2 linked regions of the Drosophila melanogaster genome follow. The protein of the gene in region 2 interacts with the protein of the main gene of each other region in a pairwise test. Each region holds a gene or a part of one and is shown on either strand. Other genes may lie near its edges.

Region 1 (3,755 bases), 4.7 Mb from region 2:
CTTCATCAGCATTTGATTGCGCGGTATCCGCACGTCGCGGAGTCCCAGAAAGCCGTTGTTAACGCCATTGCCACCCAGGCGAGGTCCTATATCGCCCACATCGACTCCAGTCAACGGTTCGTGTGTCCTCTCGTCCCTGATCCTCACCACAAATGATTGCAAGCCATAATGCTTGCCCTTCACATATAGCTGGGCCAGCACAATGGCCACATTGGCGGTATTACCAAGTCCGCCGGGCCACCACTTGTATGAACTTTGCGTTGGGGTGTTCAGGATGAATTCCTGCGTGATGGGATCGTAGTCGGCTCGGGTTTCCAGGCCCCGGACAAAGGTGCCGTGACCCAGCTCCGTTTGCGCATAGGTGCCCAGGACGCCGTCCATGTGCCAGGATCGATTGAGCCACTGGGCCTGCTGCTCCTCGGTTCCCTGGCTCAGCAAGGTGGTCATGAACATGGAGAAATGCACCCGAAGGGGGAAGCTCTGCTGGAAGAGGCCCGTGCCCAGGGATCCGGAGAGTAGCAGCCGAAAGTCCCTCAGCATATTCACACTAAGCTGAAGTTGTGGCTGCTTCTCCCGCTGCCATTGGCGCAGTTTGGCCAGGAAGCGTGTGGATCGGGCCACGGTCTGTTCGTAGCGCTCCTTGTATGACAGACAGCTCGGATGCACTGGCTCCGCGAAGTCGGGATCCTCATAGAAACGCCTTTCCAGGGCGCGGCGCTCCTCCAGCTGCCCAGAGCCACCCGCCCACCAGCGGGCAAAGTCCTCGCTGTCCAAGGTGGCCGCCGCCCGCTCTCTCTGCAGATCCGCATTCACAGACATGATCGCTCTATCTCTCCTTCCCGATCTCTCTTTTCCTAGAGTTTTACTTTTCTACGGGATTTCCCAACTTCTCTGCTCGAACGACTCGATTGCACTGAGAAGTTGGTGGCTGGAAGAAACAGTTCTGCAGCTCGAAACATGGCAGCCAGGTCACCAAAGGCGGGGATAGCAGGGGAATATGGTTGGTTATCAGTGATCCGAAATTAAAGATGAGTTGCCAATTAATATACCGGGATTCTTTATACATTTACCACATTATACTCATAAAGGATGCAGTGTATAAGCTATTTATGGATAACTTATACAGAAGAGGCGATCTGGAACCCCTTTGGATGGTCCATCCTGCCTACGCCTTTGGAGCCCCACCACTGCCTCTCTTTCGCGCTCTGCCCGCTGGTGCTCCAACCGCCGTTGTTGCTGCATTGGAGTCACTGAACTGAGAACTGAGCCACTCTCAAATTGCTTGAGCGCCTTAGGGTGGACCATATTCCGTATTTGTCGAAAGTTTCTCAAACTGCGTCTTTCTTACAAGATGCACTTATCATGTTTTAGATTTCGTATCCTAGGTTGTATATTTGGACGGAATTTGTTTCTTACTATTAACTCAAACGCTGATTTGTGTGTTGGTCCACCCTAGCCAAAAATGGCACAAAGTGCGTAAACATCTGATGAGCGGCATTATCTCCTAGTTTTTTAGTTCAAGTTTTTTTTACCGTAGATAAGAAAATCGTAAATATTTCTTGTTGTTTTTGTTTTGCAAAAACCCACAAAGCTCAACAAACAATTATTTCTTTTTCGTACAATAACATTTTTATTTCGTGGATTTCTTGTTATCAACATAACGTTTCTCAATTGGATGACGTTTAGAAAATCTAAGATAACCCTATGGGCCATTGTCAAATTGTTTATAAATAGAAACTAAAAGACATGGAAAGAGCGATTTTATTTATATAAATAAATAAATATATTATTATACATACGAGCTTCTGCAACCTGGATTTTAGGACAAATTCTCAATTTAAATTTCCCGCTCTTCAAGAATGCAACATAAAATATAAAAAAACACTGGCCATTTTAATAACTATAAAGAGTAATTATTATAATATTATTGATGTGCCAAAAATGCAACGTGAATTACAATTTATTTTACAAGAAAACATAAGTTTTGTAATAAAAAAAAGCTTAGGAGTACCCCTATTAAAAAGTTTTCAGCATAAAAGCTCGTCGAATGTGTGACCAATTGTCGGAGTAATTTAGTGGCGCCCGACGAATGGCCACACTGCCGGCCAGCTGATCGCCCGCGTGCAGATTTCTCGACTTTATTTTCCTTATTTGGCTGTTGTTGTTTTGGGCCGCCGGTACCGCTTAGCTTTCTGTCTTCCTCTCTCTCTGTCTTTCTCTCTCGCTCCCACCAACGGCACCGCCATGGGTAAGAACACGAAGCGCAACAAGAAGACAAAACAGCAGCAACAGCAGCCACAACAAAACGGAGTAACTGCATCCGCATCCGGCACAGCAGTCGAGGATTTTGAGGACCAGCAGGCGGCCAGTTCGTTGCCCAGTTTAAACGGCAAAAAGAGGAGCCAACTAAACAAGCTCGTCGAGGAACTGCTTGACTTGGTGGAAAAGCAACCGGCGAATCCCAACGAGGAATGGAAGCAGTACGGGCAGCTACAGGAGCTGCTCAAACAAATCATGATCCTGGAGGAGCCACTCAGCCAAGCAGTGTGTCCGCAGATCAGCGATTCCCCCGACGATCAGACCCGTCTGGCCAAAGTGGAGGCGTTCAGTGCGTGGGCCAAAGATGGCGGAGTTCACAGTGAGGGACTGGAGATAGCCATCTTTCCCGGCTACCAACTGGGTCTGCGGGCCACCCGACCGTTGGCCAAGGATGAGCTGGTGCTCAGCGTGCCCCGGAAGCTCATCTTATCCGAGGAAAACAACTCCGATTGCCGCCTATTTGGCAAAATGACGCAGGCCACCCACTTGAACCTGGCCTATGATCTGGTCATCGAGAAGATCCGTGGCGAGTTCAGCGAGTGGCGGCCCTACATTGATGTTCTGCCTGCCAAATACAACACCGTGCTATACTTTACCACCAAGCAGATGGAGCTCCTCCGGGGCACCGCTGCAGCCGCTCTGGCAATGCGTCAGTGTCGCGTCATCGCCAAGCAGTACGCCTTCCTCTACAAGTACGCCCACACCATGACTGAGCCGAGCACCGGGAACAGGAGCCATCCGGGCGAAAGAGGCCTCTTTTTCACGCAGCACGGACTCTGCTACAAGCTATACAGGTGAGTTTCGATTGAGATTTGGGATTGCAATAAAGGTGCTAAAGGTGCCTTAAAAAAATATCGCTACTTTTAAAGTTTGTTCTACTAAGTTTAAGAAGAAATATGATTCTGTGCTAAAAAGATGGCTTAAGGCCAAGTTTTCTGCTCTGAAGATCTTTTCAGTTGGCCTAGAAATAGAAATATTGTATACCTTTCCGGAATTCCATTTTTAAATCCTGCCCTCGTGTTGATCTTTCCCTAAGTGTGTTTTTCGGTTTAGTTTGGGCTTGTTTTTGCTGCAGAGAGGCCTCTGAATCTGCCAGTTGTCCCACTGGCCATAAATTACATGTTCACTTACAGCTGGTGCTGTTTGTTTTAAAGCGAGAGTAGATGCATATGGCCAGATTGCCCGACCATTGTTGACCTTCCCGTCTGGCATTGTGATCGCATTGTTTTGCCGAAGATCTACGATCTATTTACGGATCCGCTTCCACTTGCGACGGCTGGGTCATGGTGCACTGGGATGGGTCTGGTTGTGGTTGTGGTTCTGGTTCTCCACTCGCTTCTGTATTTATAGTGCCGCGATTTCGACACCAATCTTCGGTTGTGGTCGAAAACCCCAGCGAGTCATGCGGTTAGTCAAGTGCTTTCGAAATGCTTGAA
Region 2 (3,588 bases):
ATAAAAAATTGAATCATTTTTATAAAATCGCAGCCTGTAGAAATCTAAGTTAATAAATAATAATAATAGTTATGACTGTAAAACTCGCAGCTGTTAGCAGAAATTCTATTTCAACAAGTGTATGGTTCTATAATATATTTATAATTTAACATTTATCTTGGAAAATAAATAAGATGAATATCTTTTGAGTAGATAAAAGGTGATTTCGAATTCGTGGTGGCGATGGCATTTAGAGTTTTATTTTTCTTAATTGGATTAACTGCTGTTTTTACAGCCCGACAGCAAAACAAAACGTAAAACAAAGGTAAGAAGCGAAGAAACCCCAATATTTTTCCAGCATAAATATGCTAAACTGCCATAATGAGCGGAAAATGCGATAAAACCGAATATAGAGAGGAAAATAACGGAAAAGAAAAGCGGGGAAACTGAAACCAAACGATTCTTTTTATTGTTTGGCTAAAATTGATTGCATGGCTAGATTATTGCTGTTGGAATTGGAATTGTTTCTGTTTTTGCAGCTTTGCCTTTTGCATGCCGCGATAAAAAGTATTATTTTTAATTTCCCGTATCAGGCGTATGCATGTGTCTGTGTGTGTGTGTGTGTATGCATCACACGACTCCGCCGGAGAGAGTGTGAGTGTGTGCAAGGGTGGCTGAAAAGGGGAGAGCGATAAAAAGGGGCTGCAAAATGCAGACGAAGCATAAAATAAACAACCGACGACGCGCTATCGATTTTTACGGCATGCTGGAAGCACCAGCACACTGATACACACAGTTTGCAGAATAGGGAAATAAACTGGAAGTTATGCTATGCCAAATTGAGTTTTTTCAACAAAAATTCCTCGCAGAGAAACGCGAAACGAACTAGTGGAAGACTAAAGAGCCGGGTTTTGTTTATTTACACAGGAACAATACAATCGCACGCAGCCAAAGACACACATACGTATACCACATACACATGCATATATCCCGACGCACTGTTCCGTTAGTTTAGTTGGGGTTTTTGTTTTTCTCGGGCTTTCGCTGAAACCTTAGCTTGAAATCCTTACTTTTAAGATGCTGACTATTTTTTATAATCGGTGGTTGGTTTTGCTTCCAATTTTCCGATCCCGAGTTCCGTTTATCATCCGCTCCGCTGCGCCTGTTTACCCCGCTTTTACACTTTTCCGTTTCGCTGTAGCTCAACGAACTCGTCGCTCTCCTTGCTCCGCGCACTTGTCAAGCTTTCCCGACTGCAACTGCACTCGAACTCGGGGCGTGGGTGCACTCGCTGCGCCTTAAAAGTGCATCTTTCGCAGCCGAATCAGCGGAAAAATCTGCATTAAGTTAAGCCGCGTTTCCAATACACAAATACTGCTTATCGATTGTTGGCGCTATCGAGCGGAGCATCGATAGGCATCAGCGGAGTTGCCAGGTAGGACGATTATATTAATGAGTTGGAAAACTATTCGTACTTGATAATCTTCTACAAATTGAATCGTCGATCGTCGGTGCCGTCGACAATCTGGTATTGATATTTGCTGGTGCGGCTTTTTTTCACGAATTTTATTTTGCAGGAAACATAACAGCAAATATTATTTAAAACATTGTAATTTTATAAGGTAAATTATTCAGGCCTAAATACAGAAAAATAAATTAATTTAATAAAACATTTAAATCTAAAAAATTAATAAAGAATATGTTTAAAATCACATCGCAAAATGTAATATTTTTGTATTTTAGTCAGCACTTACCGTTATTATTGGCAGTAGTAACTGTGTGGCAGCACCGCACCGTGGCAAGTCGATAGTTTTTTGTATATTGTTGGTCTGTATAAACAAATAATATTAAAGTCATAATAAAAGAAGTGCTGGTAAAGACTTAATAACTCTATGTTCCTTAAAAATTTTTAAATATATCTCACAATGAGCATTAACTGGATAAAGATCACGGAAAGGTATGTAATATCAATGTTCTTATAGAGATTAATTTCTTGCATTTATATCTTAGAGCCCGTGAGGGCATCAAAATCATCAATGCCTTGCCCTACGAGACCTTTACGACGGTTCTGTTCTACACCCACCGGCAGATGAGTCCCAGCGTAGCATCGGCGAGTGCCACCAGTAGTACAGTGGGCACCAGTGTGACGACCACCGGCCGGGTGGACAGCAGCACCGAGGAGAACCCCACAAGTAACACCGAACCGGAGTACACACTCGAGGAACTGGAGCGATTGGTGGGCGTACCGCGTCAGGACTTCCTGCTGCTGATCAAGACCTTCTCCTACATCCTGCGTCGCATCTCCACGTTTATCATCAAGCCAAGTTTGCTGCAGCGTGAGCTGCGCGAGAAACTCCAGCTGGAGGATGAGGCCAAGATCGATGCCATATTGCGTTTGTGGGTGCGCGAAACGACGCCCATTATGAACAATTTGGCCAGCAAGCGGTACGAATCAAATGTCATCGAAGATGTGGCCTGGAAGCTCAACATGGAGATCTCCTCGCATTGCCAGCAGCGGGAGAAGACCCCGCTGGCCGTGCTCCAAATGAAAACGGCCGTCGGCGAGGATATCAACATCGAAATGACACAACCGGAACTAATGGAACTGTACAATCAGTTCGAGAGCATCCAGGGCGAACTGGACGCCATGCTGGCCATGAAGACTACAGGAGCAACGGCGCCTGGCAATCAGTAGTGGGACGCCATCGACCAATTCCAGTGCCAATTTTATTGTTGATTCACACAAAACTCTGTGCAAAAAGATGGACCTAAAAGTATGCAATACTAACACGATCGTAGCCAAATGTTAAACACGTTTTTTTTTGTTTAATTCAGTAGGGTTTTTCCTATGTTCTGGCTAATTTTCCGAACGTAGCCAAATTTTTACTAGAGTAAGAGTTCGGCTTTGATTTATAAAACGTTGCAATGATTAGGATCTTCCAAACAGGACTAGTTTTTAAGTTTTAGAACTTACCCTCTGCAAAATAATAAATCCTTTAATAAATTTAGATAAAACAATGTGTGGCACATTTTACAGTACACTTTAATGGATCTCTGCATGCGTTTTACTCGTCTGCTCCACCTCGGATCATAATTCTACTGATAAACATTACAAATTATTACAATGATATATATTTAATATATGTCTATATTGTATATGCATATGTTATTCATCGGCCTTAGTATGCGTGTGTGTGTGTATAATGGAGTCGTATATTATGTATGCATTATACAGACTTTCTAGTTTCATCTTCTCAAACTTTTGCATAATTATGCATATGTATTTATTGTTATTACGGGAGGGCGGGGATTTTGGGTTGCTTCGTATTCAAATTAGGGGCTTCGTTGTATTTTTCACTAATCTAGAAGCAAAACGATTTCTATTGCACTCTTTCACAGTTCGGTTAATCATTTCAACTAAGTTTGGACAAAATACAAATGTATGCAAATTATTTGGACTACAATTTTCATTAAAATGTATTGCTATTGTTACATTTAGTTGTCGTGTGTGTAGGTGTTGTTATCATTTTTCCTTTTTTGCTTTGGCACCGGCTCCATTAACTAGCCCTTAACTTGGTTGTTAGTTAGTCTTCAGTTTGCGTGGGATTC

The links. The genes of interacting proteins can lie anywhere in the genome.
Region 1: the proteins of Vlet (region 2) and Setd3 interact in a two-hybrid assay, tested with the Drosophila melanogaster proteins (one large-scale study listed by BioGRID).

The regions. Positions count from the first base shown.
Region 1 is NC_004354.4:6,967,082-6,970,836, reverse strand, and holds the start of Setd3 (SET domain containing 3), read left to right. Parts: upstream 1-2,086; 5' UTR 2,087-2,244; coding exon 2,245-3,113; exon of another isoform or gene 3,114-3,755. Other genes in the region: CG4586 (uncharacterized protein), read right to left, coding at 1-819. UniProt on the Drosophila melanogaster protein: Protein-histidine N-methyltransferase that specifically mediates 3-methylhistidine (tele-methylhistidine) methylation of actin at 'His-74'.
Region 2 is NC_004354.4:11,676,751-11,680,338, reverse strand, and holds Vlet (valette), read left to right. Parts: upstream 1-1,787; 5' UTR 1,788-1,904; coding exon 1,905-1,936; exon of another isoform or gene 1,937-1,989; coding exon 1,990-2,674; 3' UTR 2,675-2,995; downstream 2,996-3,588. UniProt on the Drosophila melanogaster protein: Scaffold protein in the commander complex that is essential for endosomal recycling of transmembrane cargos; the commander complex is composed of the CCC subcomplex and the retriever subcomplex.